3 linked regions of the Oryzias latipes genome follow. The protein of the gene in region 1 interacts with the protein of each later gene in a pairwise test. Links are inferred from orthologs where the notes say so. Each region holds a gene or a part of one and is shown in the gene's direction. Other genes may lie near its edges.

Region 1 (4,064 bases):
GTTAAAGGCAATGTGGAGCAGCAGTGCATTGAATTAAGATGCTTTTGGGCTTTTCTTTCTGCCTCCAGTGTGTTTCCTTTATGTTTATATTTTCCGTTTCAGCTTTTAGTTTCACTGCTTCTGTAACAGTGACTTGATGACGATTGTATTACACCTCTCCACCAGAACCTGAAGCACCGGACTTTGGGCTCTGAAATTCTGACACCATAAACCCTAATCAACCAAACGATCTGTTCCTCCTGTAACTTCCTCTTTTTATCATTTAAGTTTTACAGCAAAAATCACAGCTTGCAGTATTGTTGCCATAGCTTTGATTATCACCGAGGGAGAATAGAACAACAGCCTTGTCACATAGGATTGTTAATCATAACCTTTGCATGTACTAAACTATAGCACAGTTCTTTTTAGGGTATTTTAGTTTCCTTAGACTGTGGTAACAGTGTAATTTTTCATTTTTAAGTAAAACTGTGCTTAGATGTTACATGTTTACCCTTCCCTTAGTCTATGCTAGTGTCCAGTTTGCAAAATAATCTGTATGGTTTTGCACATCATTCTGCAAAGTGAGGCCTGAAATCTTTCTGGGGTTTACCTGCAAACGTTCTCCGGATTATGCGGCGCAACCCCGGCTTTTGATTTTTCTAGACAGATCCATCGATCCCTTTTCGTGATACTTGAGAGAACATTAACTTTATTTCAGGAGCAGCAGGAATTAATCTGCTAATGTATATCAATTAAAGAGGGACTCAAAAGTCCTTTTTCTTGTGGTGTCCCAAATGCAGACTGGAGTTGTTCTTTGTGGGTTTCCCTAAATAATATATAAACTGGCAAACAAATTTGCTGTAACATGAGTACCCTGCAGTCCCCCTCTTTCTTCCTCTTACCAGCTAGGTGTACAAGCTTACCCCCCCCTTTTCAGTTTTTGTTACCTTGATACACTGTAGTGATGATTACACATTGTGCTCACGATCCTTCTGTTTAAACATAGTTTTTTTTCCTTCCTTTTTTTTCATTTGGTTTTGCAGCATTCCTTGTTAGCAAACGTGGTTTCAAATCTAAAACTATTGAAGGAAAAAAATAAAATGCGGCTTTGCCTGAGAACAAGTTTTTTGGGAAAGGCTGCAGGATGGGTTATCTTCAAGAAAATAAATGGTGAAACCCTGAGTGACTGCGTGTGTGTGCTCTGTTGGTGGAGAGGCGCCTGCGTCTGAAGTTCGGTTCAAATCGGTGACGGCGCCTGCTGATTGGCCAGAGAGACAGTTTGTTCGCATGCGCAGTTTCGTGGTGCATTTGGAAACTGTCAAAAAATTGTTTATCTTCTGTTGTTTGTACTTCCAAAAGTAAGATGTACCCAAAATCAGAAATATTTTTAGTATATTTCGTATTTTAAATAATTTTTGCATAGGTTTGTGCTGCTAAAATTACGCGTGCTTCCGTGTCTCTATCCGCAGCTTGTATTTAGGAGGGATTTATTCTAAGTGTCCCTGAAGGCAGCACCGGTAGGAACAGGAAAAGGGAAGCTCAGACGGACACTTTCCTTCTGAAGTGACGGTGAGTCTGAAACAAATAATTTCCTTACGAAAACATTGTTTACGCCATCACATCTAACAGGCGAACAAGACAAAAAACATTTCCGAGCTGACACTGAAGTAACATGATAGCTTTGCTAGCAGTGCTAAGTTAAAAGGATTTGAACTTGTTTTGGTAATTGCGAGCACAAACATTCCTGATGCTAGACTAGTGTTTTTAAAATGAGCTAAAAGTAAAGCTAGGCACGACGTGTTCACGTCCATTTGAACCGCGGCGCCAACTTTGTCCCAGTTTCCACGCACGGATCATGTTGAGCAGACTGTCCGGACTGAGGTGCTGGGACGGGGTGGCAGCTGGCATCGAGGCCGCTATTGTTCCTGCTCTGGCGGCTGTAACAGGAGCAGAGACGGTCCTCCTGATCCCCACACAACACGATGATGAGAGCCAGCAGAAAAGCTCAGAGGCCAAACCTTTAGAAACAAGACATTCAATTTCATTTAGCAAATAAATAGTAGAGCTCTCACATTTCCCTTTTGAAGGATTGAGCTCCATCTAGTCAATGTTTTTTTTTTTAATTATTTCTCTTTGAGTAATGACTGATAATGGCTGACAAATTAATCGAATGGGTTATGATAAGATTTACATTTCAATACATATTTTTCTCGCTGCTCTTTTTACCTTCTCATTTGGGTCTTCATCATTTATATTTCTCAGATTGCGCTTGTTTAGATTAAAATAAATATATTCCTTTATTTTAGGAATTTCCTGGAGATTTTAACTGTCCAGCCCAAAATGAAAAACAATTCCCTGTAGTTTGTATGTTGTTTTATTGAAATTGGACTGAAGGCATTTTAGAAAGTCTAGATCAGTGGTTTAGAACCAGCAGCTCTAGAGCCTCTAGTTCAACTCATTGATAAACAGTTGAAGGACAGTACGTATCACAAGTCAAACTAACGTATGGACAGATTTTTGAGCGCCACATATTAAAAAAAAATCAATTGGAGGTCAGTAAGCAGTACTGGAATAAATAATTTACTGCTGACATGACACTACCTACGACTAAATTAGCTGCATTGAGATGATCCTTATAGTACATGGAGGCTTTTATTTTGAAAGAAAGTATTGGGAACCTCTGTTTAAAGTTAACTCAAAGAAACGGCTATTTCCTCTGTGTTTTGTGTTCTTTTCTATTTATCATAATGACAACATAAATACAAACCTGTGTCTTATTTTTCCAAAGGGTGAATGAAGTAAGACCTTGTGGCTCCTGCTTGATAGTGGTCAGTAAGAAATCAACCAGAATTATTTAAAAATTTTTGGTTGAATGAGTTTCAATTTTTACAAGTAAAGGGACTAAAAAGTCTTTATTGCATTACCCTTCTTGATGGTCTAAAATACTTTATTTTTATTTTATTTTCAGATAATCCGATGACATAAAAAGTGTCATGGTGCTTCAAAATAAAAGAATTAATCATATGTTTGCTTTGATGCTTTATTTCCGTTGTGCGATGCGCTGTTTTCTTTCCGTTCTCCTGACTTTCCAGACTTCCCTTCCAGGCCTGCAGTCCTAATCCAGGCCTCCCGTCTCTGTCATGGACAGCCTGGAGGAGGACCTGACCTGCTCGGTGTGCTACCAGTTGTTCTCCGACCCGCGGGTCCTCCCGTGCTCGCACACCTTCTGCCAACCTTGCCTGGAGAACCTGCTGCAGGTGTCCACCAACTATTCCATATGGCGCCCGCTCCGCCTACCAATCAAATGCCCCAACTGTCGCAGCGTGGTGGAGCTGCCCCCGGCGGGCGTGGACGCCCTGCCCAGCAACGTCTCCCTGCGGGCCATCATTGAAAAGGTGTGGAGGAGTTTTGTGCCTCGGTGGGACGTTTCAATTTTAACGTTCTTTTTCTGTTTTGGGGGCTATAAGTACCAGCGAGATGAGGAGCCACGCCCCCCGTCCTGCCAGGAGCACCCCAGACAGCCCCTCAACATGTACTGCATCCAGGATCGCCAGCTGATCTGCGGGCTGTGTCTGACCGTCGGGCAGCACCACGGCCACCCCATAGACGACCTGCAGGCCGCTTTCGCCAGGGAGAAGGCCACTCCCCAGCAGCTGGCCGAGCTCTCCGAGCACAGATGGGCTGAGGTGGGCGGGGCTTTCATGGCGGAGTGGTTAGATCTGCAAGATTATGGCAAAATGTATCCAAAACATTCAACATTTTGGGGAAAAAGCTTGAAATAATCCAAAATGCTGATGAATTTCTGACTGACAGGCTCCCGCGCGAACCTGTCAGTCAGAAATTCATCAGCATTTTGGATTTTTTCATAACAAAAGCTAGAATAGAGACAGTTTGAACGTGCGGTTGTGTGAATTTTAAGGTTTGTGAGCTGGGGGAGCAGCTGGAGCAGGAAAAAACCCGATGCGAGGGTTTGCTGAGACAGGACCGGGACGACGTGACCCAGTTTTTTCACTCCCTGGCGTTGGTAATGGCCAAAAAGAAAGAGGCTTACCTGGAGGTTCTGGACAAAGCTGCTGCTGAGGTGT
Region 2 (4,209 bases), on another chromosome or scaffold:
CTTAATCATGATGCAAAATTGCTGGACAGAATACCACTTGCTCCTACAGGTCAGCTGCATAACTTTCAGAATTTAACATGACAAGCTCACATGAGGAGAATGAGGGGTAACTGATGCCCAGTCATAAACAGAAATGTTTTATCCAAAATTAAATTCCCCTCAAATTATTCCCTTATTGAACCCTCTATTTTGAAATAATTCACAACATTTTAACACTGAGGGCTTTATTTAAGACAGGAGCATTCCCTTTTAGCCTCCAAAAATAGAAATATTGATATAATCAGAAAAAAAAGCCTGACTTAGTTACACACAATTTTTACTCAGACACTGTAGGTTCAACAAGGGCTTGTGGTTATTTTTGTTGTACTTTTAAAAAAAAATCTAAATAACAACATTACTGAATGTGAATAAACCTGTAACAACTGTATTTTTTAATGTAAAAACCAAAAATGCAAACATTAACCAATTAACATTAACAGACACCACAGTAGTTTAATATCACCTTATGTATCAGTGAAACTGCTTTTGTGTTGTTTTGTATTGCACTAAAAAAAATTTGGGGGGGATTTTTTAGAATTTTACATATCAATTTGCTCTTCATAATTACTGCATTTATATTCCAGAATATTGTTATAATTCAATATCTTTGTTGTTGTTGCTTTAGGATACCAAAATGCAGATTTTGTTTGTTCCCTTTTGTGTTATTTGTATTTAAAACAAAAAAAATCAAAAAGTATTTCTAAATATTTTAAATAGAGAGGGTAATTAAATTGATTTCTTTTTTGTGCAAACTATGACGGCAGGGGGCAACTTTGTAACCATGGAGATTCAGCTCCTGTGAAGTAACCACCTAGAGATGATCATGAAATAATAAGTTAGGATTTGTTGCCCTCTACTGAAGCATTCCCCTTTTCAGAAACCATCCTTCCGATAGAACACTTTTTTTTTACATACAGCAAGGAAATGTAATCACACTACTGATGACAGTATTCTGGTTTCCCACATTTATACTTCCTTTAGAACAAGATGTTACTGTTTATTTTATTATTATTATTGCCTAAAAAGGCATTTCAAACTCAAGTTCTAAGACATCAAGGTGTAATATAATATAATATAATATAATATAATATAATATAATATAATATAATATAATATAATATAATATAATATACTGAATGACATTTTTGTTTCTTCATCTGTTTTACCCATATAACAAATGCATTTATTTTAAAAATGCTTTACAGCGATCTGTTTCTTTTCTGTGCATGCGCACCCGCACCGACAGATGGCGGTAAAGAAGTTTGTGAAGACTTTGAGGATGAACACCGTCAGCGTGGCTCCGAGAAATCTGTTTTTGTCTGCGTGAGGGAGACAGCAGCAGGAAGCTTCGTGGTGCTGAAAGAACAGCTCCTTAACAGCTGGACATCTTCAGGTAGGAAGAGGCGCCATCCAGGAGACATAAGTTAGGGCGACATATGGGTTGGGGGGTCAGCATCTTTAACTGGAAGAATTTCCTACTCATGTTGAAAACAAAGAAAAGAGATCCAGCTACTATTTCTTGAATTCAAGCTATTTTGTTTTGCCACGTGCGTGAGGAACTCCAAGTGATCATGTTTTTTGTGTGGAAGCAAACGCAGGCATCAGGTTTATTCTGAGGAACTTGATAGTCACCATACGATTTGATTGTTTCTTACTCCTGCAGGTTAGGAGACCACCAGGAGACTGATAGAGTATTCTTGGAATTCTCAGTGGCCCCAAAGACCCACATTTACACAGAAATGAGTTCTTCTTATGATTATAGTCTTATTACTCCTACAGCTGCATGAAAATTACCTCGATATGGGTGTTTTAATGAAATAGGAAATCTAAATATGATATTTATTTCTTAAAAAAAAGTCTTTGAAGTATTATACATTTTAGCACAGTGTAACAGTTTATAGTAACTCCAAAAGGTTCAGTTCAATTTAATTGTATTTATATAGCCCAATATTAAAACAATACTTGTCTCACTGGGCTTTATATTGGTAACTGTAAGAACATGAAATCAGTCATAAAATAAAATAGGTAATTGTTAAACTAAACTAAACAGACTAAGCTAAACTGGGCACCCCTGCCCTTAGACCAGGGGTGCCTAAATCCATGACTCGAGGGCCGGTGTCCTACATGTTTTCCAACCATCCTGCTATTGAAGCACCTATTGGCTAAACACACCTGATCCAGGTAATCAACAGGAGACAAGGCGAGTTTCTGGAAAAGTAGCAGGAGGCTGGCCCTTGAGGCCTGGATTTGGGTATCCATGCCTTAGAGCCTCCTTCTCGATAAGGAAAAACTCCTAAAAAATGGATTCTGGGAAAAAAAGAAAAAACCTCAGGGATGCCCGCATGAAGGAGGGATCCTCCCCCAGGATGCACAGGCGATGTACCAGATTTAACTTATCTAACTCTTCAACTACTTGTTTGGATAGTCTAGCAGATGGGCTTCAAAGATCTATTGGATTGTTTTTGACAATCCTTTTATTCTCTATCCATCACCATGCTAACTTGATTACTTTATCCTAAGAAGAATCACAAGGGTTTTTAAAGCTTATTCTACCTTTTTGAAGGTGAGGGCAGGGATGAGAAGCCTTGACCAGGGCCACTGATATCCACATTCACCCATGAGGGGTGAAGTCCCAGAATAAGCTATGAAACTTCAAAGGAGGCTGGAGCGTACAGGAAAACATATAGTACATGCAAAGGGGAAAATAGACAATCTTTACAGAAAGGACCTATCTGGGAATAACACCAGAAACCTTACATCTTTGAGTAGCAGGGCTAACTACCACACCATTGTGCAACCTTTCGCTTATTTGGACGTGCATTACAATAAAAAACAAATCAAATTTGTAAATTCTACTTTAATTAGACAACATGGGCTTTAAGTTAGATTATGTCTGTAATTTTTTGCATTTGTTAATAAAAATAATTGTTTGCCTTGCGACACATACACAAGTTTAATCTAACAAATTGCTGTTGGATCCTCTCCACTTCTGATCAAACCTGTTTTCCGTCTTTGTCCCACAGAGATGTTCACCCGAATGTTAAAACTGAGACTGCTCAACGCCGTGGCACCTGTGTATTTCTTCATGGCAACAGCAGTTACCAACATCCTACATTTCTTCTTCTTCATCCCGACTATATTCCCTTACCCAGAAACCTCCCTGATGGTGTCATCCACTCTCCATACAGTGCTTGTGCTCTTCTTGATGTTCAACGCACTGGGGAACTACATTATGACTATCATATATCCTGCTGAAAGTGCCAACGAGACTTTGATCCCTGTGTGCTCCCCACACTGCTCAGACAAAGTGGATGCTCACTACCTTCTGAACGGCCGGCACTTCTGCAAACTGTGCAAGAAGATCATCCTTAAGAGGGACCACCACTGTTTTTTCACCGGGAACTGCATCGGCAACAAAAACATGCGTTACTTCCTGATGTTCTGCATCTACACGTCATGCACGTGTTTGTACTCTTTGGTTCTGGGTGTCGCGTTTTTGACAGTGGAGTACTCCATCTCTTTTGAGAACCCCCTGACCTTTCTTACTCTCCTCCCCCTCTCGGTCTGCTCCTTCTTCATGGGTGAGTCTTGAAAAAAGAATGCTAACACAAAGATAATTGTTGCCACACTTCTAGCCCTAACTCTGCCCCCTCCTTGTACAGGAACCATCTCAGGATTGCAGCTGTTCCTGGTGCTGATGCTGTATGTGTGGCTGGGCATCGGCCTGGTGTGCGCCGGTTTCTGCTCCCAGCAGATGCTGCTGGTGGCTCGGGGACAGACTTGGTGTCAGATGCAGAGAGGCGAGCTGGTGAGGAACTGCAGCAACTGGAGAGCCAACTTGAAGCACGTCTTTGGCACGCGCTGGATCCTCGGACTCATCCTGCCTGTGCAAACGGAGGAGTGCTCTGAAGATGCTGATGGACAAAAACAAGACTAAGGATCGGGATAGGTCAAAAAACTTAAAGGACCGATTAGAACTCTTTTGATGATGGGATGCTCTATGTTTAAAGTTATCCCTGAAATAACTAATGGCACATATTCAGTTTAGGAAAGGAGCCATAGGAGCTAAGACCTTTCTCTTTAAAAAGCAAGTATCAACATTTAATCTTTAGCTTCCGTTTCAATTCTAAAGTTTTTGCTTTCTTTCATTGATTTGCATGTTTTCACAGC
Region 3 (4,126 bases), on another chromosome or scaffold:
AAAAAATATGAATCAATATTAAATCAGACGTCGTCTCATGTTTCTATGGTCTCCTGAAAATCCCCTCCCCTTCTCGCATAAACTGAGTCTGTGTGCAATCATCTCAAGATGGAGCAGATGAACCTCTGCTCTACCTCTTTTTTCATCTGCATTTCCTCCACAAAAGCTTCACAAACTGTGAGGACAAACCTTGAAGAAGACCCAAGCTGACACCAGAACACGTTTATGATCAGCTGGACAGCTACTTGAATTACACCTACTTCCCGTTTCACGTGAAATTGTTCAGGTAAAAACACAGATGTGGCCTAAAATAACCAATGTCTCCCACAGTGATCAACCTACACATGGAAAAAATGGAAATCAATCTAGATGCGGTTCCTTGGAGATGCACCAACACTGGATCCGACATATGGATGTCACATGGGTCAAAACCCAGGAAGTGGAAGAAATTACCTCCCACATCCATCCAGTGGACAGAAACATCAGGTTCACTGACAAAGACATGAGTTTATCCTTGTTGTAAATATCATATTAAAGACCATAAAAACTGGATAGAGTGGATGTGATGTCACCCATAGAAAACAACTGTCTTCCGGTTCCAAACCGGTAGCCGTTACTGATCCAGTAGCAATTCAGTTGCCTTTTTTTTGCGATCTGAATGCCACCATGTTGGAAGCAGAAATCGTCAATAAACAGCGGTTGGTCCGAGTCTACAACATTTCTATGGCAAGCGCTCTCTCCAGTCAGGAGTGAGCATGTTAGAAGACCTCATGCCTTCCACTGAAAGCAGACCCGTGAGAATCTGTCAATCAAACATTGAGGGCATTTGATGCAGACCACATACTTTTATTGAGGCATCTGATTGGTCAGTTGATAACTTGAATAACTTCAACAACAGAAAATTATCATGAAAAAAGAGGATTATCAATAACTGAGTTATAGATGTTTATTTCTCCATAGACATCTGTGGGTTTTTGGCTTCTTGGAGCTGCTTCCTGTTTGGAACAGAAGGGGGAAGGAGTCACTCAGTCCATTTCTCATATACAGTCAAATAAAGTTTAAATCGTTGACTGTATATGAAAAATGGACTGAGTGACTCCTCCACCCTCCTGTCTAAATTTTAGACGTAAAGTGAGCTTGCAAACAATACACGGGGAAACAGTGCCCCCACGTGTCCATTTCAGGTACTGTCAAAGAAACTCTTCCGGAACTGTTGTGAAATGAACATTAACGCTTTTGGAAATGGCGGTAGTCACTCTTCGTTGCTGGGCTCTGTGCACAGCGTCTCTGCTAAACTCGCTATTTGTCTTCATATCAGGCGCAGACTTCATTCGCTTTGTATCGTTTCGAGCCATTTACCACAACATCACCGGAGAGACGCCGTTCTGTCAGGGTAAGTTGACGCAGGTATAGCGGCCAGCCAATAGAAGTTGAAGTCACTGTAGTGTAGGAGTGATTCGTTGTTTTCATAAATATTAAGTCATTCAATAAACTCTTGTTATCTAACATGAAAACGAGTGACTCATTCGGCGGACCCCAGTATCAAATTCTGCTGGGATGCGAGTCTGCACGCCGCCCGGCTAGCTCAGTCGGTAGAGCATGAGACTCTTAATCTCAGGGTCGTGGGTTCGAGCCCCACGTTGGGCGAAATATGTTTTTACTTTTTTCTCTCTCTAAGTACTCATTTATTTATAAGAAAGCATTTAATGAAACTTCTGATGTATTATGTATTTAAAAAATAACATTTAAAGTGTTTTACATCTGTTGTTTCTCCAGACACCATACCATGGTCGGTGGCTCTTTCTGATGGCTCAGTCCTGAGGTCTCTCATTGTGGATCTGTGCCTGATGGCTCTCTTCATCACACAGCACAGTCTGCTTGCCTGGTCTCCGGTCAAGCAGGCTTTGCAGTCAGTGCTGGGGCCCCTGAACCGGACTGCATACTGCTTCACCACGGCCCTGGCCCTGCAGGTGTGTGGCCCCCGTGACCTTTTTCATGTGCCGCAGCATCATCATGTCCCGCTGCAGTCCTGGACTGAAGGACCAGTAAAATTTGCACGACTAATGTGGGCGTGGTAAACTAAAAACCTCCGTTGCCAAGGAAATACAAAAATTTACTTTAGCTAATTCTTCAAAAAATTACATAGACTTGTTCGTCACCCCCAGATAACTACAAGACGAAATGGTTGCTAAGGAGATAAACTAACAGAAAAGCCGCTTTTTGAAAAACTTTTTTTTTTCATGAATTTGTCACATGCAGCTCTGACCAGGGTGGCAGGGGCAGAAGGGGGGAGTGAGGAATATGAAGCAGTCGTTCAGCAGCTGAGGGCGGGTCAGGGGGGGCAGTGATGGCAGGGTTGGGTGAAATGAAATGAATGAGTGAATGAATGAATCTTTTTGTGCTGTTTTGGGTCTTTTTAAAGTTTTCTGTCATTTTAAGATGTGACCTTTTCTGTGTTTACTTTGCCACTAAAACCCTTTATATTGTCTCAGGTTCTTTAGTCTTTTTATAAATGTTTTGACTCTTTATTTTCTTTAAAAATTGAACAAACTCACCTTTTAATGCTTTTTAAATGTATTCATGTTGATTGACTTTGATTGACTTTTTTTTTTTTTGGCATTTTCAGGTTTTGATACGCCTCTGGCAGCCTGTGACCAGCGCCCCCTGCCTGTGGTCAGTCCGGGACCCCCCCTGGAGTGTCTGGTTCCCCCTGCTCTGCTTCATACTGCACTTCCTGTGCTGGGCCATCATCTGCAGCATCCTCATGATTTTTGATTATCCAGAACTTCTGGGCATCAAGCAGGTTTGAAACCTGTTTCTTTTTTCTTATTTTAGGCATTTTAGATGGTTTCATACATTTCTGGTGGAAAAAAAATCTATACATTTTGTTTTTAATTAGTATTTTAAGGTTTGTATTTGTTACCAAGTGAAACTAATACTGTTTGCAGAAATATTTCATATTTTAAAACGGGTAAATAGATGTAAAGTTTTCTCTCTACTCTCCTGTCTCAGGTGTATTACGATTGTCTGAGCTTGGGGGACCCCCTGTTGCATAAAGCCTCTGGAGCGCGGCGCCTCCTGTCCCACTACCGCCACCCGGTGTGCGTGGAGCTGGCTGTGGTGCTGTGGCTCCTGCCCTCCTTATCTTTGGACCGGCTGCTGTTAGCAGGGACGCTGTCGGCGTACCTGGCTGCGGCGCATTCTCTGGACAAACACGACTTGGCTTATGTCTGCGGGCAGATGAGCAGCAGGATGCAGATCTTTGCAGAGCCGCATGGCAGCGGTGCAGCCGAGCGCGAAGACGGCAACTATAAGGAGAAGTGAGGTCAAAGTCAAAGCTGACGTTGGGATTCACTTTGACCTTTAGGGGAACCACTTTTTGACCCTTTATCACTAACTTTTTACACAAACTTTTTACATTTTTTTAACAACATTTCAAACTAAAGTTGAAAGTACAGAAAATTAGGGCCACAATACAAGAAAATAATTAAATGTATTTTATGATAAAGTCGTAAAATGATAATAGAGAAATATCAAAATTGTACAAGAACAAAGTAATATATTTATGCTTTTGCAAAAGAGCCAGGCTTTTTTAGTTAATAAAATGTTATACTTAGCCTTTAAAAGGCTTCAACCAAGACAATTGAACATTACACCTTTTTAATTTATGATTCAGGACGTCATTCTGTTTAAGGATCTCGCTGAATCTGCTTTACTTTTTTGCAATTGTACAGCTTTATTTTAATGAAATTACATCTTTAATTTTGGAAAAAAAAGTGCCCTATAGTTGTAAAATGACAACTTTTGAAATCATAAATTTACTACTTTAATGTAAAAATTGGACTGTTTTACTCATAATTCTTCAACTGTATTCTCTTTTTTTTATGGCGACTGATACTTAGTTGTAAAAGCAAACATAACAAACACAAAATAAACTTTTTTCATTTAAATTGTTTCTGTTAGTGAACAAAGATGCCTTTTTGTTAAAATCTTTCAAATGTGTTTCAATATGGTGACATTTTTAAATGTTTTTCTAATCTGTTACACTTTTTTATCTGAATTCAAGCAGAACATGAGGTTTTGAGGTTTCTGAGGTTTTTGTTTCCTAAATGTAAAGATAAATTTA

Evidence for each region.
Region 2: the proteins of trim59 (region 1) and zdhhc22 interact in binary tests that used the Homo sapiens proteins (3 or more experiments, as listed by UniProt). The link is inferred for Oryzias latipes from reciprocal best matches to the Homo sapiens genes TRIM59 and ZDHHC22.
Region 3: the proteins of trim59 (region 1) and nrm interact in binary tests that used the Homo sapiens proteins (3 or more experiments, as listed by UniProt). The two-hybrid records come from large-scale screens. The link is inferred for Oryzias latipes from reciprocal best matches to the Homo sapiens genes TRIM59 and NRM.

Annotation. Positions count from the first base shown.
Region 1 is NC_019871.2:13,509,642-13,513,705, reverse strand, and holds the start of trim59 (tripartite motif-containing protein 59), read left to right. Parts: upstream 1-1,264; 5' UTR 1,265-3,119; coding exon 3,120-3,374; intron 3,375-3,446; coding exon 3,447-3,665; intron 3,666-3,898; coding exon 3,899-4,064. UniProt on the Homo sapiens protein: E3 ubiquitin ligase involved in different processes such as development and immune response. Serves as a negative regulator for innate immune signaling pathways by suppressing RLR-induced activation of IRF3/7 and NF-kappa-B via interaction with adapter ECSIT.
Region 2 is NC_019880.2:13,011,856-13,016,064, reverse strand, and holds the start of zdhhc22 (palmitoyltransferase ZDHHC22), read left to right. Parts: upstream 1-1,312; 5' UTR 1,313-1,432; intron 1,433-3,062; 5' UTR 3,063-3,064; coding exon 3,065-3,620; intron 3,621-3,701; coding exon 3,702-3,976; 3' UTR 3,977-4,209. UniProt on the Homo sapiens protein: Palmitoyltransferase that could catalyze the addition of palmitate onto various protein substrates and be involved in a variety of cellular processes. Catalyzes the palmitoylation of KCNMA1, regulating localization of KCNMA1 to the plasma membrane.
Region 3 is NC_019869.2:5,698,176-5,702,301, reverse strand, and holds the start of nrm (nurim), read left to right. Parts: upstream 1-1,187; 5' UTR 1,188-1,242; coding exon 1,243-1,393; intron 1,394-1,574; exon of another isoform or gene 1,575-1,647; intron 1,648-1,776; coding exon 1,777-1,970; intron 1,971-2,626; coding exon 2,627-2,803; intron 2,804-3,012; coding exon 3,013-3,324; 3' UTR 3,325-4,126.